Caenorhabditis elegans: one gene and its partners. The protein of the gene in region 3 interacts with the protein of the main gene of each other region in a pairwise test. Each region holds a gene or a part of one and is shown on either strand. Other genes may lie near its edges.

What was found.
Region 1: the proteins of wwp-1 (region 3) and arrd-7 interact in a two-hybrid assay, tested with the Caenorhabditis elegans proteins (2 studies listed by BioGRID).
Region 2: the proteins of wwp-1 (region 3) and eps-8 interact in a two-hybrid assay, tested with the Caenorhabditis elegans proteins (2 studies listed by BioGRID).

The regions. Positions count from the first base shown.
Region 1 is NC_003280.10:12,058,539-12,065,875, forward strand, and holds arrd-7 (Arrestin C-terminal-like domain-containing protein), read right to left. Parts: upstream 4,084-7,337; 5' UTR 4,082-4,083; coding exon 3,906-4,081; intron 3,717-3,905; coding exon 3,611-3,716; intron 3,560-3,610; coding exon 3,397-3,559; intron 3,349-3,396; coding exon 3,239-3,348; intron 2,587-3,238; coding exon 2,172-2,586; intron 2,128-2,171; coding exon 1,943-2,127; intron 1,892-1,942; coding exon 1,787-1,891; 3' UTR 1,694-1,786; downstream 1-1,693. Other genes in the region: nadk-2 (NAD kinase 2, mitochondrial), read left to right, coding at 1-176, 1,021-1,232; arrd-8 (Arrestin C-terminal-like domain-containing protein), read left to right, coding at 6,547-6,728.
Region 2 is NC_003282.8:14,876,246-14,883,582, forward strand, and holds the start of eps-8 (SH3 domain-containing protein), read left to right. Parts: upstream 1-3,317; coding exon 3,318-3,370; intron 3,371-3,424; exon of another isoform or gene 3,425-3,445; intron 3,446-3,583; exon of another isoform or gene 3,584-3,604; intron 3,605-3,796; exon of another isoform or gene 3,797-3,818; intron 3,819-4,016; exon of another isoform or gene 4,017-4,037; intron 4,038-4,121; exon of another isoform or gene 4,122-4,142; intron 4,143-4,361; exon of another isoform or gene 4,362-4,382; intron 4,383-4,511; exon of another isoform or gene 4,512-4,532; intron 4,533-4,606; exon of another isoform or gene 4,607-4,630; intron 4,631-4,683; exon of another isoform or gene 4,684-4,704; intron 4,705-4,836; exon of another isoform or gene 4,837-4,859; intron 4,860-5,091; exon of another isoform or gene 5,092-5,112; intron 5,113-5,314; exon of another isoform or gene 5,315-5,338; intron 5,339-5,404; exon of another isoform or gene 5,405-5,425; intron 5,426-5,548; exon of another isoform or gene 5,549-5,569; intron 5,570-6,594; exon of another isoform or gene 6,595-6,615; intron 6,616-6,759; exon of another isoform or gene 6,760-6,781; intron 6,782-7,129; exon of another isoform or gene 7,130-7,150; intron 7,151-7,337.
Region 3 is NC_003279.8:535,416-542,752, reverse strand, and holds wwp-1 (E3 ubiquitin-protein ligase wwp-1), read right to left. Parts: upstream 5,632-7,337; 5' UTR 5,616-5,631; coding exon 5,510-5,615; intron 5,451-5,509; coding exon 5,193-5,450; intron 5,148-5,192; coding exon 4,918-5,147; intron 4,052-4,917; coding exon 3,842-4,051; intron 3,668-3,841; exon of another isoform or gene 3,511-3,667; intron 3,301-3,510; coding exon 3,026-3,300; intron 2,959-3,025; coding exon 2,745-2,958; intron 2,690-2,744; coding exon 2,369-2,689; intron 2,031-2,368; coding exon 1,770-2,030; intron 1,690-1,769; coding exon 1,468-1,689; intron 1,410-1,467; coding exon 1,122-1,409; 3' UTR 555-1,121; downstream 1-554. Other genes in the region: icd-2 (Nascent polypeptide-associated complex subunit alpha), read right to left, coding at 6,260-6,397, 6,447-6,854, 6,904-6,945. UniProt on the Caenorhabditis elegans protein: E3 ubiquitin-protein ligase which accepts ubiquitin from an E2 ubiquitin-conjugating enzyme in the form of a thioester and then directly transfers the ubiquitin to targeted substrates. Ubiquitinates klf-1.

The DNA of each region.
Region 1 (7,337 bases), on a different chromosome or scaffold from region 3:
CTCCACGTCGTGGAATTTCAATATCAATAAGCTCACCGAGCAATGCGTTCAGGATTTGATGAAAATTGTTGCGGAGCACTGTAATCTGCCACAGATCCCGCATGGGGATAAGAATGCTGTTAGCGAGATTTGCACGAAATTTAATCAACAATTGATTTTTGATCCTGATCGCAAACGTAAGGGATTATACTTTTTTTAAATTTCAACTCAAAAATTTCAATTTTTAGTTTTTTTCAATCAAAAATTTCTGGATATTTTTTCCTCGGAAAATCATAAAAATTCTGGATTTTTCTTGCTCTTGGATTGAAAAAAACTTCAGTTTTTTTTTTCAAAAAAAAAAAAAAAGTTTCCAGAATTTCTTAAATTTTTTCTTGTTTTTTAAAAAAGATTTACAATAAAAATTCAAGATTTTTTGTAAATTATCCGAGTTTTCAATTTTTTTTAAACGAAACTATTTGAAGTTTTAGAAATTTTTCATATAATTTTCTAAAAAACTTTTTTTTTTGGAAAAATTATTTAATTGGAAATTAATTTTTTTGTTGAATTTTTTAAAAAATTCTCAAAACCTAGATTTAAAATTCAGATTTCTTTCCAAAATTAAAAATTCCAAAATTTGAAAGTTTTAGTTATTCTAAATAATTTCCACAATTTTTTGGATAAACATGGACAATTTGGTATTTTTTCCAAAAAAAAAAGCCTAAAAATAAAGAAATATAAACAAAACTAAATTATTTTTCAAGGAAAATCGAAAAAAAATCCTGAAAATTTCCAAAAAAAATGTTTTTGGAATTAAAAAAAAAATTCTCTCAAAACCTAGCATTAAGAATCTGGAAAAAATGTAGATTTTTCGAAATTTTCTCGACTTCTTTAATTGTATTTTTTCGAAAAAAAAATCCCTAATTTTTAAGGCGAAAAATTAGGTGGATTTTCCAAAAAAAAAAGAAGGAAAATTCCGAAAAACAGATTTCCTTGCTTAAAATTTAAATTTTTTTCAAAATCAATTTTTCTCTAATTTTTCAGAACTCGCATTCTCAGTCCGTGATCCGATCTTCAACGCGACGTTCCCACCAACCGATCCACGGGGATTCGCCGATAAAATTTGCATCAAGAGCCGCGGTTACGATGCTCATTTGGTCATTGACGGAGGCATCTCGTATCGATTTAACGATGGATCCGAGGCGGTGATGGAGGTTCGGGATGAGGATACGTTGCGTACGGTTGTATTCCGATAAATTACCTTTTTTTTGTTCGAATTTAAATTATAAATTTTGTATAGTATTATGTGCTTGGATAATGATGACGACCTCAATAAATTTAATTGATTTTTTGTTGGTTTTTTCATGTTTAAAAAAATTTTAGGCGCGAAATTCAAATTTATGTTGGCAAAAATTGATTTAACGTTTTTCCCCAAATTTCGTACTTAAAGGCACATGGTATTTTTCAGAGTGGGTCTCGCCACGATCAAACAATTTACAGCTAAAACCAGCCGCGACGCGACACGCAACGCGCCGTAAATCTACCCCAGATATTGCCAAGCCAAAATGGCCTAGTTCGGCAAACTCTTCCATTTCAAAAGATGAGGGAAGCCAGAACCGCGTGATCACCGTTAAAAATTCGCGAGGTTAAAAAAACCTGAAATTATTTTTTTCTGTATATTTTCGGAAATTTTTCGGAAATTGTCCACAAAAAAATGGAGCGTTTTTTTATTATCATCTGAAAAGTCGGAACAAAACTGCGGAACATGGCCGAGAAAAACCAGTAAATTCGGCCACCGATTTAAAATAAATTAAAATCCACTTTTTGCTGGCAGTGGAGGTGCGTATTCTGGTGGAAGTTGAGAATTTTGCTGTTGTGGCAAGTTGTTGTAGACTGGGTAGCGAGGAGCGAAGGCCTGCAAGTTTTCCGTGAGCATTTTGCTGAGAATTTCAAGCTTGAAGCTTACCTCTGCATCCTCAACTTTCCCAGCTCCGTGTACAGACTCTTCATAGCTTGGAGGAGCTTCTCCTCCGGGAGACGCTGGCGGGGCCGATGGAGCAGTCGGGTAGACTGCTTGAGACGCAGATGCTCCGGCGACTACAGGATATGGAGGAGCGGAGACCGATGGCATAGTTGGCATTGCTCCAGGAGCTGGAAGATAGAGGATATACCATTAAAATTCAAAAAAAAATTGCCTGCTTGATTCATCTGTCGAATTGGGATTGTTCCAATGATCAATGGGAATTCACATTTCAAGCCACCTCCGAAAATCTGTTGAGTTGAAACTTTAACGGTTAGACAATAATCCACGGCGATAATCGGACAATTAAAAGACGGAACAATCGCTGGAATCTTCATCGAAAGAACCATTTGCCCACGGGATTTCGCTGGAACATCAGCTACTCTTCTCGATTCGGCAACCAACTTTTCGTCGTTACGATTATGAGTATGGGCTGTGACGCCGATCATGTTGCCGTGACTTGCGTGGAAATGCGAGAGCTGTGTCATTTTTGCGCTAACTTCTGAGACGGCAACCTTTGAGCCGTTATCGATGTTTACGGTGATTGGCATGATTTCTCCGGCGACGTAGCCGCGTTTTGGGAGGTTTACCTGAAGATTCATACTATAATGGTATTCAACTGTTATATCATTTAAAGTTCAGACGTAGATTATAGGATGAAGAATAAGTATTATATTCTTTCAAGGAAAACTTGTTGGAAGTGTTTTTTTTGGGTTTTATCAAATATGAAAATTAAGTAGCAAATCATTAATGATACATCATGAATAAAGCGTCAGTGATTACTATTTGAACTTTGCATTCCATCTGTTAGTGTTCAAATAACCCCTTTTTTACATTTTGAACAATTTAGTATGTTTCAATATTATTTCTTCACCATTATTGATGTATTTAGAGCTACACTCTTTTATTAATGTCAGTATATACAGTGCGTGCAAGTTCTATATGCCACCCTCTAAATTTTTGGTTATGACAATTTCTGTGTAATTTGGTGAGCAAAAAGTATTGAAATCGGATTCACAATAATGAAAAACTTGTACTCCAAAAGTTTTGTGATGATAAGATTTTGTCAATGGTGCTTTATTGCAAATTGATAAAGAGAAGCGTACAAAGGTTGTTTTTATTTTATTTTATGATGTTTTTGAGTTAGTAGCTAATTTATAGTAGTAGACAAAAAACTGTGAAAAAAATTATTAACATTTCTACCACATTACCTATCTTCAATTTAATTCGATAATCCCTTACCGTAATTGTAACTAATCCCTTTTTGAGTATCAGTCCAGTATTCTTCGATGCAGTATTCACCATCGGGTTTATTGCAGTTGGAGTTATGTTCAAATCGAACACCGGAATCACTGAAACGACATTTTTCGATTCAACCCAAAGTTATTAAACGAATATACCCGAAAAGCATTTCCTCGACTTTTTATTAAACTTCCATGGTCTGTCTAATTCCACGTGGACATCGTATCGAATATGTCCGTGACAGCCTTCAAAACTTGGCGCACAATTGATGGGGAGGTTAAAAGCAAATGGGAAGACATTGGTGCCAGCTGGAAGACGGTCCTGAAACAAGAGTTTGTTGAAAGCGTGAAGACAGCTTAACCAATAACTCACAGTTCCATCTCTCGACTGCCATGCAATCGATTCTCCGGTCAAATAGTTGATAGTCGCGTTATAGTTCACATTCTCCGTGAATCGTTCCCTTTCTCCACGTGTGTTTCTGAAAGGCATTTTGTTTTTTGATGTTCAAAGGGTTTATTTTACAGGTAAGCAGTCTAGTAAAAAAAAGACAAGCTATCGTATTTTTCCGATTAGTGACTATTTATTGAATTATGGTCTTTAGGTAAACGACTATTAAGGGAAGCAAGTAAAAAGTGCTGAAATCAGAAATTCAAAAAATAAAACTCACGTCCTATATGTGCTGCGACTTTCACTCCAATGCGTATGTGCACCTCCGTGAATGCAAATTTTCAGAAACCTCGCTTTGATCCATTCACGATTCTGTATGATTACTTTTCCGGTGACAGCCTGTCCTGGGAAGTATACATCGTTCGGAGCGTCGTACTCAATTCGCAAGTCGTCCATTTCTGGTAATATTCTAATTATTATTAGCTGACATAATTAATAGTATGAGAATTTTTTAAAAATGCGTAGAATTTCAAAATTATAATTTTGACTGAAATTTTCAAGCTGAACATTTTGAAGTTTTTAGAGGGCTAAAAATTTTTTTTGAATTTTCGCCTAGCAAGATCAAACTGAATAAATTGGCTTGGAAACCTGGCATAAAAATGCTTATCGCAATATTTTTGGTCTGTAAATTTTTGATTAAATTTTCTAGGTGGAAAATATTTATAGCGCATTTTGTATAGAATAATATTTTCTGGTTTGACTGAATTATTCTTTGCTATAAAATTTTGGCTGAAAATGTTTTTGGAAGAACTTTACTAGTAAGTTTAGACTGAAAATTCGTAGCGAAAACATTTAATTATTTTTGGCTAAAAACTCCTGAACAAAAGTTTATAATACCAATTTTTCTGGAATTTTTCAAAGCTTATGTTTTCGACGTAATAATCTAACTTTAAACATTAAAAATTACAAAAAAATCAACAGAAAATCATATCGATTCTGAAATATAAAATCACAATCAAAAAGTTGTTTCCAGCACACTGAAATAATTATGAAACTGCTCTCAAGAATACATTAAATTCAATGATAGCACTTATCAGTAGAGCCAGCTTATTTGGTGACTAACAAAAAACGGTGAAAATTCCGTCACTAGGTTTGCGAAATTTTCCAAAATGTGCATGCATTTTGGACACCTAGATAGTATTTGTTTTGAGAGACCTAGGAGGGGGGAAGAACAAATATTGTATGTTGGGATGGTATTTAATGTGTTAGAGACCAAAATCATAAAAACAAGTAGTAAAATGGGATGGAATAGATCAAAATGTAGGAATTTAATTTTTCAATTTATTTTAAGAAATTTATCAACGGATTCGGGGAATTTTGTTCTAAAATTTAAAAAATTGACCGTTAAATTGTTAAAATTTATTATTATTAATATGATTTATTATTATAATTAAGATTGTTAAAATAATTATAGAATTTTTCTAAACTTTTGCAAAGTTTGTCAAAAAATTACACATAGTTGATTCTCTTTTGATTTTTCGTTTTTTTTTTCTCTAAAATTATTTTTTTTTAATTGGAAAAAAACGACAAAAAATCCAATACGTAACATGGCAATCGGCGAAAAATTTTCAATTTTCCTGTAAAAATATTTAGAATGCAATACATTTTCTTCTTTGAAAAATGAAAAAAAAATCATAAAAAATCCAGAACTAAATAAAAATTTAAAACTCATATTTTGAAGAATATCTTGAAGTTAGAGTTGAAATTGAGTAACAAAAATAACTAAAAATTTGAAAAAAAATTTGAGGAAGGAGGCTTTTAATTTTTTCCTAAAATTCCTATTTGAATTTCTCCTAAATCTCCAGCTAGAAGTTATATGCCGTACTTTTTTGCTCTAAAATATAAAATAAATGAAAACGGTTTTGTAGGAACTGTTTCAAATAATTAGAGGAATTTATTAAGCTTACAAAAAAACATTTTGGCCAACTATGAACTATGTTTTGTCGCGTTTAAACGCGACAAATCATTTTTCTCAAAGAGAAAAAAATTTGCTATATTTCAAGTCAGGAAACTTTTTTTCTACTCACAATTAAACATAGCGAACCTAATATAATTTCCAAACTTTTTTTTATGGTGGTGGAATTGAAAAAAAACATTTTTCGGGTTTTTTGAAATGAATTTCGTAGCTACAAAGACGGTCATACATTCATTTGAAAGTACGGAAAATTTGCTATTTTTATAGTCAGGACACTTTTTTTTTGCACGAACATAACCAAAGCAATTTAAACAAAAAAACTATTGACTGTAAATTTTTTGGTTAGTTTTTTAAAATATATTTTGCCTTCTGAATTTGGAGCGAATTCAAAATAAAAATGGAATATCAAAATTTTAGCCAAAATTAGATTTTTCAGGGTATCTTAAATCAAAACCCCGTTAACAATACACTATCTTTAATAACTTTAATAATATATAATCGATAAATTCCAATTCATAGCGAATTTTTAAAAAAAGCACACCGATTTATATTTAATAACCATGTTAACATTAAAAACTTGTGAAGAACCACGTCATCGCATAAAGTATAAATACACAAATAACCCATAAATAGTATATTGTTCTGATTCATGCTCAAAGTTTGCACTGAAAAGAAAAAAAAGACCAATGAAGTACGTTGTCTATGACGTTTTTGCACGTTTTCAGACTTTATCAATTTTCCGGCAAGAAAACATGACGTAAACATGGTGCATGTTTTATAAATAAAAGTTATTAGTTGATAAGAGAATGGAATGAACTGAGTTGTTTCTTTTTTAAGATTTTTTTTCTAGTTTTTATTCGGAACTTATTTATATCAACTAATTGTAAAGAAAAATATTGGATGTAAAGCTGTAATATAGTATAATTTCATGTCAGACTTACAAAAAATGGGAGACACCACATTTCTCATTGAATTCGACCATCCTGCCGCTGTATACTCCCCTGGACAGAATGTAGCAGGGAAGCTAACAATCAGAAATCGAAATGCTTTAAATGCACTGGCTCTGAAAATTTGCATCCATGGAGATATTGAAACGTTGTGGAGGAAATTTGAGAATAAAGGGAGATAGTGAGTTTTGGGGACTATTTAAAATTTCAAAAAATAGTCAAGAAAAACGAGTTTCAGTAAAAAAATTTCTCAGAAAATTCAAGTTTTCGGCCAGAGTTGTTTTTCCAGAAAAATCTGAATTTCTCAATTTGGGGTTAGGCATTTGAAGTGAGCCAATATGTAAGGTTCTGAAATGAAAGTGACGTAGAGGAAGATTACTTACTAATTTATAAGTTCTGATGACATGAAAATACAACTAAAATCGCCAATAGAAGCTTCGTTAAAAAATATATGAAATTATTATTGCCGCTCGTTTTATGGTACATACAAAATTTAAATACTTCCGCCAGATATTCATCTCTCTCCTTTCCAAAACAGTAATCAGATTATCCACTATTTAAAGGTACATTCAAAATTTGCCGAGCTTGGCTAATTGGGCAAATTGGGCAATCTTGCCGTGCTGGGCAAACTCCGAAAAATGAGAACATTTTGATATTTCTAGAAGCGCCAAAACTACTGAATTTTTAGCACAACTTTGAACTCAACTTCATGTTATTTTACTATAATTTTTTGAACAAAATCAACAGTTTTGGCCAAATTTGAAAAAAAAGCCTATTTGTGATGTGTGCG
Region 2 (7,337 bases), on a different chromosome or scaffold from region 3:
ACTTTGAAACGTTATATCTAGGTTCATTTTAAAGATATCAATATTTTGTTAACTACGAAATGATAGAAAAAGAACTAGCAAATATTTTGTTAGTTGGCAATGTTTGAATAAAACAAACGATAACTGAGATATAATCTATCAAAGTTTAACAATGGGGATGCAATACTAATACGGTAGATAAAAAGTTGTCTTGATACATGTCGCAGAAAAATATGGGACTTTTCTATACCTAGATTTTTGGCGCAACTGGTGAAAACCCGCAAATGACTTCTACTTCTCTAGTATTACTCCGCGAATTCTATTAGGATTTTGCAAATATTTTGAAACAGTAAAAATTGTAACTAACTTTCCGATCTTTCTAGGAATTTCTTCACCAAATGTTCTCTTTCAAGTCCACATTTAGCGCACTCGGTAAGGGTCTTACCTACCACTCACAACACCAAAGTTCGACCCCACGGCCCTCGCAACTTCTTTCTCATGGGCGTGTCGATATGGGGGGTAAAATCCCGGTATTTTCTCCCGCAATTTGTATCTATCGAAATGTGTCCTTCCCACCCAATCATTTCTCTCTGTGTATCTTCCCTTCCAATGAATTATTTGACCTTCGTCATCGCCTCCTAGCGGGCGTCTTCTAATAGTATAGAAGGCGTGTGTTATAGGGAGATGGGGGTGGAGAGAAGAAGTTGACTACTACTGACTTACAAATTACCGCCTCCTCCTTCCCCGTTGCCTAATACGGGTGAGAGGAGGTCAACATGTGTGGTGGGAAATTGAACGGAATTCGGAAGGAATTGAAAGCGATTTGGGGAGGGAAAAGTTATTACTAATTGTTTTCCAGGTGTTCTAATTGTTTCGAATTGGCAAATTTACAATCACTAATTTTTGTAATTAAATAAATGAAAAATTACTGTTTCAAATTGTCTTTTAAAGCGGCTAACAGAACTGAAACGGTAATTTTTTTTGTTTTTTTTGGAAAAAAAATAGACTGTAGAAACAGCTGCTCAATTTTTGTAACGTCAGAGATGTGCTTTTTTTGAACTGGGAATGTACATTACTATGACTAATTACGTAATGTATTTTGAATTTCTTACTTTAAATGAATGTTCTATCAAATAAATTCATATCCGTTTCTCTCTCGCGGCAAACACAATAATTTTCTCGAAAAAAACATTGAATTAATTAAAAATATGAAACAGCAGAATTTTTCAAATTAGAAAAAAAAACTATCTTCGCACTATTCTCGCATCTGAAATATTGCTTCTAAATCACAACCAAACACATTAATTATTACTAGTGAAGCAGCTATTTTTTTCTGAAAATTATAAATTAAATTTAACATATATTTTCACTAAAACTACAAACTACAATTTGAGCACAGTAAAAAATTGCACAACTTTTGTAAAATCGAATTTGTAAAACGAATTAGTGTTTCTTTATACAGCAACTAATCCCACATATTTCAAAATAAGTAATGCAAGTGAAACAGTAAATTTAACAAAATTAACCTAATTTTCAAATGATTCTCAACCGAGCTTAAGTTCAATACCTATCCAAATCCCAACCAGTTTTTCATTCCAATTCCAATCCATCTACTTTCTCTCTCCACCTGTGTCTCTCACCTCTACCATACTATTTCTCCCACCTTTTCAATCGACAGTTTTTTTGCTGTTTCGGTTTCTACTGGATACACGCCTTTGGGGCGTGGAAATAGAAGAAGATGGATGGATTTTGGAGGAAAAGTTGAAGGAAAACTAGAGAATGCTGGGGCCCGGATACTTATTATTTCTTTGATTCGATTTTCTTTACTTTTTCCCCAGTTACAACAGATTTTGGAAAATTTCACGAAATTCAATTTTCTTTTGTTTCTTTGGATGTTTTTAAAAAGGGATTTTGTAGTTTGAAAACTTGAAAGCTTACAGAAAATTTTATGAAAATTTGCATTAAATTTTCTGCAGTTTCACACTCTTTATTTCAGCGTTATAGGGGTTTTTGCAACATTGCTTCAATTTCAATTTTTCCTATTGCTAAATATAGAAAAAAAAGCGGTGGCGAATTCTTTATGAAATTGTCTAAAATCCATCTTGTATACGTTTCAAAAAAAATTATGCTGTTTCAAAAATGTAACTTGTTAGCACAGAATATACGGTTTTCGTTCAGATTCGTTTTCAATCTCAATTTTCAAAATCTTCAGTTGAAGAAGTTATCTTTTTCTGTTTTTTCTTCGTAAATCTGAAAAATAATCACTGCTTCAAGTTATTTACGATTTTTAATTGATTTTGAAATCTAACTCAATTACTTTAATTAATTCTGTCATGTTAATACATCTACAAAAATAAATCTTACTCCTATATTTTTCATTCAATTTCAGATCTGATTGACTTGATTTTCAAGAGTATAGCTATTGCTAGAATTTTTAGTTGTTTTTAAATTTATCATTGATTTTCCGAGTATTGTTTTATTCACTAAAATTTCCAGATTCACAAAAGTTTTTAGTGAAAAATAAATCAGTGAATTGAAAATGTTTTAATTTAAAATTCAGATTTTTCTCTCAATTTCTCACTCTAGCCGCTTTAATGTTCTCTTCTCTCAATCTTTTTGTTAATTTTTTGAAACAAATTATCACTGTTTCAAGTTTTTTTAAAAATAATTAATCAATTTTCAATTTTAATTTTCACATAAATTGCTTTCGCTTTCATGATGTTATTTTCAAAACAATATTTTTCACTATTTTCATTTGTTATATAAAACATGGTAAAACTTCCCATTATACTCTCTTTTTGCTTTCTTAACTCTAGTTTCCAAATTAAAATTAAAAAATTGTTTCTAAACTTCAATTATATTTTCCTAAAACTTTCCACGAAAATTAAAATTCATTAGAATTTCTTACAGTTACGAAAAAGGAGCCAAACTTTGAGATTTGAATTCAAGTTTTCCACTTTATAATTAAAAATGAAAATTTCTTCCTTATTGTAACATATCATTTCGTTAATTTTTTAAACCAAAACTTTAAAATTTTCCTGTTTCACGTTGTTTATAAGAAACATTGATTTTTTAAAAACATTGCTCGGTGGATTTTCTGAGTCTTTTTCAAAAAATAAAACAAAACTTTTCTCATGTTTTTATTGGTTTTCAAAATGTCATATATTTTTTACTTTTCCAATTCCAACTACAATTTTTCGAAAACCCAATGCTTCAATTTTTCTTCCATAACTTTAAAGTTAAATTAAATTTGATTTTATTTCAGCCAGTCAAATGCCATTTGCTTAAAAAGCGAGGAAATTTATCATCAGTGAAGAAGTGTAAAACATCTATTAAAAATGATGCGTCGAGGTGGATCGATGGGTCCACCGAGCGGGGATCCATATCAGAGGTTAGTATATTGTTTTATGAAAATAATTTAAACACAAATACAAGGCAAATTTGATTACATATTGAGATAGTCAAATTTTACAATTGAAATAAAGTTTTTAAAGCTTTAAACTTGTTTTGTATTGAAAATCCAAGTATTTGATAATTACTCCCAAAATTGTGTCAATTTTCTAAAAATTGCTGACAATCTAAAAGGTGTGAGACGAATTAACTCAACAAACTAAGGAAAGCAGAACTAGAAAATATTTGAACTTTTTTTTGAAATAGAAGTTATGAAACGGTAATTTTTGCGAAATTTTTTAACCTAAAATTTAACTTCAACGTATTTGAAAATCCATTACTGCAAATAAATTTTGAGACTGAAATATTTCTCAAAAATTGACTATTTCGCAATAGATGTTAAATGAAATTTAATAAGTCACCAGAATTTCAAACAGGATGAAAATGAAAAAAAAACAGCTTCAAACATTTTTGTTGAAGTAATTTTTTTAAATCTAAATTGCTTCCAGCGACTTTTTAGAGCTGTTTTCTGTATGTTGATGGCTCGTAATACCCTAAAATTCATTTTTTTTCAAATAGAAAAAAAAATCGAAAATATCGCTGTTTCAAAGAAATGTTATATTTTCAAAGTTTTATCAATGAATTGTTCTGCTGACCTTTTTATTATGAGAAGATCAAATTAAATCATTTATCAAATTGAAGTCGATCCCCTATGAAAGTTCGACTAAACTGACTTCAAACCGCTTTTTAAACCGAAAATTGCAACATTCTTACTGAGTCAATAAAAATTAGAAAAATTAAATGAAGATGCTGAAACTGTAGAGTGTTTCAATTTTCGGTTTAAAAAGTGGGTTGAAGTCAGTTTAGTCGAACTTTCATAGGGGGTGGAATCCTTTAATCAGAAAATTTTAAACTGGATGAAAGAAGAAGTAAAAACAAACAAATAACTGCTTCAGATTCATGTTATTTAATTTCTGAATTTACTTTTCCGTTAAAGAATTTACTTTAAACTTTTTTTTTAGCAAATTAAAAATAATCTTTAAAAATCTAAATCTTGAAAAAGGAAAAAAAAAATGTGAATATCAAAATTTTGACCGTTTCACATTGTTTTTTTTTAATATTGACATTTTCTGGTAGCATAATATCAACAGAAGAATATTACTTGTTAATAAAAAAATATTAAGAAAATTAACTATTTCGCTTTCCTTATAAATATTCGTTATCAGATTTTATAAATTAGTAAGCTCTCGGAATTTTCTTAAATTTTCAGTTTTAAAGTCAAAACGACTTCCTTAATGTTCTAGAATAACTCAATCAATTAATTAACCAATTAATCCGTTGAAATGTCCCAGTTCGACAGGATTTATTGAATTTTCGAAATGAAGTTGATTAATTAGTTTTCAAGATGAATATCTTATTTCTCTGTTTCACCACCACACCTCTTTGGGTGTGGTTTTGGAAACTTATTTGGAATGTGAACGATTTTCCTAATGCCAATGAACTTTTTGCATTTTTTAAATTAGTTTTTTGAAACAGTGATTTTTTGTGAAGTCGTTTAATTGTAAGTTTTCAATATTAAACACCTTAAAAGTTAATTTATTGCGAAACCCCCTATAATAATGATTAGAATATTTCAAAAGTTGATTTTGAATTACTCTGATAATGCGTTTGAAATAATTTTTTCTGTTGAAACTAATTTGTTTTTTATGGTTTCCCTGTCTTCTGCATTTTTTTGAAAGCACATCATTGATAAAATGTTTCTAAAGTTTTATATTAAACATTTGGAACCGTGAAAAATTTTAAAACAACTCCAATATAGCTAACTTTTTTACATGTGCTTGTTTTTTGGAACAGTTTATTTTTTGTGCAAATTTTTAAGTATAATATTTTCAACATTTTACCATGTTTCAATGTAGTATTAAATTTTACCTCCACCATAAAAAATTATTGATTTCAATCTTATTGGTACATAACTCAAATGTTGAAAAAAAAATTTGTTGCACAATTGGAACTGTTTCAGAATTTCCCTACTTTCAAGAACAATTTTTTTTGGATATCGCAGTGTCCAAGTTTTCGAAAATTTTAGTCAGAAACCTGAAACTGTATCAATTTAAGCAATTAAAGTAAATTTAAAAACAATTATTGTATTCTTAAAAACCTGAAAATTGAATTGTTTAAAAGTGTAATTCACTGGAATTCATCAATATTCAAACTTTTCACATATTATGTAGCAAAGTGAAAACAGTAGAATTTTTAAAAAATTTAGAAAAGTCCTATACATTTTCAAGTTGCGATCAAAAATGGAACAAAAAGAAGCTGTTAAGTTTTGCTTATTCAGTCAAACTGTTACTATAAAATATAAAATTCAAAAGTTCAAGAAAATCATTTAGATATGTAACCAAATAATATTCGACTAATTTCTAATGAAAATACCTACCTAAAATCTAAAATCGTAATCACGGTTTCACAGAATATTATTTGGTTACATATCTAAATGATTTTCTTGAACTTTTGAATTTTATGTTTTATAGTAACAGTTTGACTGAATAAGCAAAACTTAACAGCTTCTTTTTGTTCCATTTTTGATCGCAACTTGAAAATGTATAGGACTTTTCTAAATTTTTTAAAAATCTTTGTGAAAAATGCGACTCTCTCTTAAAAAATTCTCTGTTTTTGTATCAGGGGTGTGCGGCAAATTTGCCGATTTGCCGAAAATTGCCGACTTGCCGAGCTCGGCAAATTTGCCGATTTGCCAAATTCGGCAAATTTAAAAAAACCAGCAATTGCCGATTTGTCGAGCACGGCAAATTTCAAAAAAGTAGATTTGCCGAATTTGCCGAGCTCGGCAAATTTCGAAATTTGCCGCACACGTCAAAAATTTTACAGTACAATTTTGACTAAAATTATTGATTTTTTCGCCAAAAATTTAGTAAAATGACACAAAATTGAGTTAGTTTTATGCTTAAGCAGACATACTACACGGAACTAATTCAGAAACCAGATGTGTGTTAAGAATTCGGTAGTTTTGGTGTTCCAAAAAACATCAAAAATTATCAAAATTTTCCGAGTTTGTTAAGCACGGCAAATTTGCCGAATTTGCCGAATTTGCCGTGCTCGGCAAATATTGAAAAACCAGCAATTGCCGATTTGCCGAGCTCGGCAAATTTTGAAAAACCAGCAATTGCCGATTTGCCGAGCTCGGCAATTTTTTCCATTTGCCGCACACCCCTGTTTTGCATGTCTTCATCGACTGCGGATCGTTACAAACATTAAAACAATGTAGTGAAATTGTATACCATTAAATTTCAAATGAAAGTTAATTTTGGAAATTTTCTGAAAATTTCACTGTTTCGACAAAAGAATATAACAGTTTTCTTTTTGCGACTCCAATTCCGTAATGTTGTATTTTCCATGCATAAATTTTTAAATTAAAAAATACTGATTTGTATTTTTTGTAATAATATACTTTCAATCATAACCTTTGTAAAATTTGTCAGAAAACCCAAAAAAAATTGATAAATACATACCATTTTACGTTTTTCTTACTTTGACAATGGTTTGAAAAAATTAAAATTCACCAGTTGCTTAATGAAACATCTATATATTTTTCTCTCTTTTTAAAGAAAAAATCGCTTAAAATTAGACAAAAAACATTGAATCACTATAATGAAATTGTTTAGAAAAAGTTAATTGTGGAAATTTGAAAATTTTTCACTGTTTCAACAAGTAATTTTAAGATTTTCCTTTTTGACCTCTTCAGTTCGTTGAAAGCTGAACACTTACATTTATTTAAAAAAAGTTAATTTCCAGGAAAAAATGTACATGTACAATTTTTTGAAGCACCTGAAATCAAACCAAAAAATTAATGTAGTGAAATTGTATAGATGTAACTTTGTGTAATGTTAATTTTGGAAGTTTTTAAAAATTTTCACTGTTTCAACGAATAATTTTTGAAAATCTCCTTCTGA
Region 3 (7,337 bases):
GCTGGAGCGCATTTGTTGTACAGTTTTTTTTATTTAAAAAATCATTGCCGGAAAATGGCAAAACAAATTCAAAATTTCATCGTTTTTTTCAGTAATTTAAATTTTTTGGTGGCGGTTTTGTTTTGTACGCTGGAGCGCATTTGCAACACGGTTTTTTTTTTCAAATTTCGAAATTTCTAGTCGTAAAATGGAAAAAAAAATGAATTTTTAGAAAGTTTTTAAAAAATCATTTTAAAGTTAATTTTCGCTGCGGGACCCAAGAACACTTTACGAAAAAATCAAGAAAAAAGCAAGAGCTCCCCGAATCTGATAAAAGCTAAAACGTGGAGCAATAAGAAAAATCGAAAGTCCGAAATAAAACGAATGAGGCTATCCATCCTCTCCGCTGGTGCAGAGAGAGAGGAGAGACGCAGACAGCCGAGACATGAGTGACCAAAGGGTCCCGTCCTTCTCCTGCAGGGTTCAAAATATTGATCTTCTGCTCTCCGTGTGTTCCGCATGGAAATTCTGAAAGTTAAGAAAACCTAAAACAACAAAAAAGGCTCAAAATTTAAAAAATTAAATTCATTACAACCAAATCGAGGAATTGTGTTTTTTTTTGTTTTCAAAAAAAAAAGTAGAAATTGTTCTAATCGGGGGGTGACGGATTGGTTGGGGGGATGCATTTGAATTAATAATCGAGAGCTGCTTCCGTGAAAAAAACTGGAACTAAGAATGACAAGGACCAAGTAAGAATAAGGCGCAGATTGGGTGGTGGTGGTTGAAATGGTTGAGAAGAAGAAAAGCAATGAAGCAATGGACACAAAAAAAATATTTGAAAAGTGGTGGAATTGTTTTTTTGTTGTTGGAATTAAACGGGAAATTTGGAAATTAAATCCAAAAAAACTAGATGCTTTGTCTATATTCTAAATATAGGTACATACCCAGAAGGAAAGGAAAGAGAGAGAGAGAACCTAAGCAAGTGGTATCACAACACGAAAATTATCACACAAATTCGAAAAAAAGAAACATTAATTGATGGAGAGAAAAAAAAGGAAAATCAATGGGGTGTGGGTGAGAAGAAATATGAGGGTTATACAATAATTAGGCGGCCAGCAAAACCAAAAAAAAACAACGGGAGACTACTCGTTTCCAAATCCTTCCGTCATCTCGATCGCCATGCTCAACTTCTCGACGAGCTGATCGTAGCTTCTGTATGGCGGCAAGTCGAGTCGATTGAAGCACGTATGCGACCGTGGGAGCCAGTTCTCCTTGCCGACACGCTCGATACAGAATAGTTGTGGTCCCGTCGAGCCCATCAGCTCGGAAAATCCACCGACTGGCACACGGCACGTTCCTGTGACGAATTGTAGGAGCCGGGCACGTTTTTCTTGGTCCAGACTTCGAACCCATTGCCAGAACCAGGTTACCTATAAATGTATTTTTTAATTAAAAAAAAAGAAGTTTTAATCAAATGTTCTCCCCTACCTGCTTGCTCTGTGGAGCATAATGTCTGTAGACAGTATTTCTCTGCCAATCGTCCACATCAACGTCCTGCATTCCGCAGAGCAACAGCTCGAGCTCTCTTTCATCGAAATACTGCATCCATTCCAACGGGAAGACCGAGTTGAAGCCGGTGAAGAAGGCTTTTGTCTGTTGTTCGACACCGCGATTGAAGCGCCACTCAACGAGCAGTTCGATGTATTCAAGCTGGAAAATTGGGATTTTTTAAATTAAATTATTTTATTTAAAAATTATTTTTATAAGCTCTAGCTAATCCAAAATCTCACCTTATTCTCCTCGGTAACAGCAATCTCTGTACCGCCCTCCTTAAGCTCATAAGTCTTGAGCTCGCCGAGCAGCTCGTAATCGGCAACAAAATAGAGCTCCATATCGCATTCATCGATATTGTTATCCTTGATCCACATCAATGAATTATAAATTTCCGAATCGACTTGTTCAATGTCCTTTAAAACAATCTTCTTGTTGAGCATCTTTTTGTAGAATGGCATCGTGAAACCGCTGTAGATGAATTTCCCGTGGAATAGCGCCTGGAAATTTGAAAATAAAGGAATTTTCTAAGAAAAACTATTTGTTTAAATAAAAATAACATTTTTAGGAGAAAATGAAATATATTGATCTGAAAATTTGAGATCATCGAAATTTCCAGGTTTTTTGAGCTGAAAATAAAAAAAATCGATATTTAAGGATTTCCTTCATCAAAAAACAAAAATTTTAGATCCAAGTGCTTTTTTTTGGAATTTTCTGCAAAATTTAACGTTTAAAATTTTAAAATTCAATTGTAAAAAGCGGAAAACTCGATTTTCTCTCGATTTCGCAATTTTTCATCCAATTTTCAACTGATTTTCAATTAAAAAAAAACACTCACCATGGCAATGAATCGTCCAATATACTCGAAATACTTAAGATGATCCGGGTTAACAAATGAAGCTGGATTGATTTGAAGACTATAATTGTTATTACCAGCATACATGAATAGGCAATACATTGGATTCAACACTTCGTGCGACAGCAGGAAGAACCATTCTCTGGCGACACCTCCATAGTCGAGACCCTCTTCGCCTCGGAATTGAATGTACAGCCGCCGGCGTAGATCGACTGCATTTTTACGCATAATTTCTTGGAATGAGTCTTCGAACACGTTATTACGGGATACTGTGATTTTGACATGATTAGGCACACTGTTTGACTGAAATTTACATCAATTTATAGCTAAAATCAAAGAATTTCTCGCCCTCCCTTACCAAGCATAAATATCTGAATTGTGCAATTTTCCACCGGAAACTCTTCTCCATGGCCATTTGAACACCGACGACGCCGAGCGGGCCGACGGGTTTTCCGGTTCTTGGATCATTATAGGTGGTGGTTTTAGACTGGTGATCGATGAAGAATGGAACGCCTTGCTCGGTGAATCGCATTTCCCAACCATCCGGAAGAGGTTGGTCGGAGCCTCTGAAACTTTTAAAACATTAAAACTGTGATTTTTGATAGAAATATTATTGGAAAATTGAAAATTTTCACATACCCCTGTGTTCTCGGATCTTCCCATTGTGTCGTTCTATTTACATGATTCACAAAGTACATTCTCGACGTATTCGGATCCTGACGCTTCTCCCATCCTTCGGGCAATGGTCCGAGTGGATCGTCGGCGCTAAAGTTGTTCTGCTGGAGAAGGAAACGTTGTTCCCATTGAAGCATCGCCTGATCTCTTCCCGATTGCCATTGTTCGTGTGCTTCAAGCATATCGGCTGTCGGTCGTTGCCAGGTGGTCGTGCGCGTGTTGTGATCCACGTAATACACCTGAAAATGGATTGTGCACCTGGCGTGAATTTTTAGACATTTTTCAAGTAAAAATCACTGGAAAGTTTTTTTTTTTTCGATTATCAAATAATTGGAGACCTTGGTTAAAATAAAGAAAATCAGAATTTTTTATCCGTCGTTATAATTTCCTAATTTTCAGGCCGTATTTAAAGAAAAAATTTCAAAATTTTCTCGAAAAAAAAAATTATGGAGGATCAAAATTACGAAAAATTGCCTGAATTCAGCAAAAATCTTCAATTTTGTCAGTTTTTCTGTGTTGGAAGTTGATTTTTACTTTATTTTTGGCCTATTTCGATGCAATTACAAAAATTTGACAAGAAATCAACAAAAATAAGACACTAATTATGTAAAAATCAAGATTTTAGCCTTAAAATAATTTATCAGGTCACTTTTTTCGGCATTTTGGTCCAGGTATCCGCGGCTACGGTAGATATTTTTAATTTTGATGATTTTCGCATCAAAAATATAATCAGAAACGCTTTTCTCGTGCTAAATCTGCTTTTTCCGCCGGAAAACTCACTCTTCCTCTCGGATCTCTTCGCATTTCCCATCCCTGTGGCAATGGCTGAGTAGACGGGCGTTCCCACGTGGTGCTCTTGGTGGTGTGATCCACGTAGTACTTGCGTCCGTATTGATCGAAACGCATCTCCCATCCATCGGGAAGCTGTTCTTCTGCTCCGGCGGCCGGGGTGCCGCCTGCTGTTGCTGCTGCTGCCGCCGCTGCGGTACTCTGCAAATGAAAAGTAAACATTAAGAGTAGTAGAGTAATGCATGTATTTGACAACATTTTGTGTATGATTCTGTAGCATTAAAAATGCAGAGAAAAGAATAAAAAACGCTCATTCACGCTCTCCTCTAGTGTTCATAATTATTAGAGCGCGCTCGCGCGGCACCTCACGAACTCCAGAATTCGCGGGATTTCGTTTCGCGGGGACAGCAGTTTTTGGCTATTTTTGGCTTCTATGGAAATTATTTTTAACGAAAACTGAAGGTTTACAGAGAGGAGTCACCACGACTTTCTTTAAAATGTATCAGTACCGTCAGTTTTTTCGATTTCAGAGTCGTAAAATATGTCATTTTGTAGAGAAAAGTCTGTTTCAAAAAAATCCATGTTTGAAATTATGAAATTGTTCTTATTAAAAACTGAACGATTGAAAAATTCGATTTTAACGTAAACTTGTTGATTTTTTGAATATTTTTATATTAGAAATTAAACAATTAAAATATCAAACATGGATTTTTGTGAAACAGACGTTTCTCTACAAAATGACATATTTTACGACTCTGAAATCGAAATACTGACGGTACTGATACTTTTTAAAGAAAGCCGTGGTGACTCCTCTCTGTAAAACCTTCAGTTTTCGGTCAAATTTCATAATTTTACACATTTTCAATTTGGATGATGCTTCTCAACAATATTTTAAATCAAAAAATTAAAAATAATTTCCATAGAAGCCAAAATAGCCAAAAACTGCTGTCCTCGCGAATTCTGGAGTTCGTGAGGTGCCGCGCGAGCGCGCTCTAATAATTATGAACACTCCAGTAGAGCGTTTCATGAATAATTAAATAATTCAAAATGGGTCTCGTCACGATTACCGTTGGAGCCGCCAAAGTGTCACGCTTCGCTGTCGCCGGTCTCCGCGCCGAGGATGACGTGGCAACGCCATTTGACGTGGATGCCTCTGAACTTGCAGACGCGGCGGTTTCAGCTCGTACTCCTGCGCTTCTTCGTTTCCGCTCTGGATATCCGGAGAAAATTATGTTGAGAGTTCCGATTTTCGAGGAGTCTTTGGCCAGCAAAGATATATTGTTGATGTCGTTTTTGACTGAAATAATAGATTTTTTGAGAAAATTTCAATAAAACCACTTACACTCTCCATTCTCATTTCTTGTGAGACTCGAAAGCTTCAGCTTCGCCATCCCTAGACACGTGTCATCGAATAGCTTGGCTTTTTGCAATAGACGAAACGAAATTGTCGAAGATTCATTTGCATGAACGTTGAGATGTTCATTCCACTCGGGCGCCATCGTCTTCTTCTTTACAGTCGTCTTTTTTGGCGCCGCCGATGACGTGTCACTCGTGATTTCGACATAGCAGTCGGCTGCCTTGGTGAACGACGCGTTGACGACTATGATTAAGAGGGGGAAATATTATTAGAACAGATGCAAAAAATCTACGAATTGTTACCTTTTACTGTGACTTTTGATGGTTTTGCCGACCCGTTTTGTTGTGCTGGAGTTCCATTACTCCCGGAACTACTCGGCTGCTGAGATGATGGTTCATTACGAGCCATTCGATCATGAAACTGGCTGAAAATTTCGCAATTCCAGAAAAGATTTAGAAATGAAAAGTCGGCGAGAAAGGAAAAATAAATCCACGTATCACAAATGACAGCGAAACGGTGGGAATGAAGATGTTAAGTACTACTAGTCAGTATTATCGATCGATTTCCAACTGATAACACTGGAAACCATGTGAAAAAATCTATAACAGCTCGCAGTAACTTGCCATTGGCTGCTGGTCGATGCGTTTTGTCATATGACCTGCACATCTAACGCCGTTTCGCCCGCGCATTCAAACGTGTTTGTTGGGGCGCGCTTGCTATTCAATAGCATTTTTCACATACACACAATTGGTATTTGCTGTTGATATAAACTGGAATGTCATGATAAAGTGATAGCAGGTGAAATGAATCACAGTCATACGAGTAAAGAATTGGAAGAAGTGAAAGTTCTCGATCAATAGAGGGGTGTTTTACACAAACAGTGATTTAATTGTTCTTTTCTGTAAAAGGTAGGTCAATTCGAAGATGCAATTGTTTTTTAAACATAACAAAAAAGTTAAAAAAGACTGATAAACGTTTACTTGGAACGGAAAACGGGATAAGCAAGAGATACAACGATAACAAGAGTATCTGCAAGGTCATCAGGAAACAAGCTACATGGTAAGGCTCATGATGGCATTGACGATGTCATTGTCAGCTTCCTTAAGCGCCCTGATGGCCTTGTTGCGGGTGGTGTTGGCTTGGGAAATGACAAGCTCGATGTCCTTCTCCTCAATGCCGGTGGAATCCTCCTTAAACCGTACAATTAATGTAATAAATCCGATTAAGTTACTGAATTACCTCAACATCCTCATTCTCGTCCTCTTCGACAGTCTTGAGTTGTGGGGCCTCACGAGTTGGCTTCAAGTTCTCAATAGCAGACATCTGGGCGTGTTGGGTGAGATCCTCGATCTTGGCTTCTCCGAAGATGATGTAGGTGTCAGATCCTGGGCTCTTGAACACGTCTGGCTTGTTTATGACGAAGAGGATGTTCTTCGACTTGCGAATGCAGACACGGGAGACACCAGTCACTTGCTTGAGTCCGAGCTTGGAGAAGAGCTTGCGGGCCTTCTTCTCGGAGCGGCTTTGCTTGGCCTGCTTGTCGATGTGATCTCCAAGTCCAGCAGCCTCGGCCACACGTCTTTGCTCCTCGGTGAGCTCTTGCTCGACGGCCTCGTTGTCGGAATCATCCGAAACGTCAACTTGTGGCTGAAATATAGAAATTTAAATATTTTAGACGTCACTTTGAACAACCAACCTCCTTGACTTCCTTCTGGCGAGTTTCGGTGCTTCCGGTCATTGTTTAATGTGGTAACCCTGAAAAAAACGTTTATGAAAGTTTACAAATTTGAGAGAAACAGGAGTTTCAAAGAGAATATTACAAAAAAAAGATGAAAAACTTGTAAATTCAAAATATCCACACATTTTTCTTGGTAGGAAAGCTTTAATCGAGGAAATTCAAGCTAACTTTTGCACAATCTTAGAATATACCCATTACTACTTATTCTAGATTGGATTTTCATGTTTTTGAGGAAAATCTGAGCCAAAATTAAGCCAAAAAAGCAAAAAAATAGTTGAAAAATCGCGCAAAATTGGTGAAACTTCTCGAGAAAAAAAGGGGTGTTTCTCTTTTTGCTATATGACCTGCACATCTAACTTCGACCCGCGACGTTCAAACTGTGCGATGGAGCG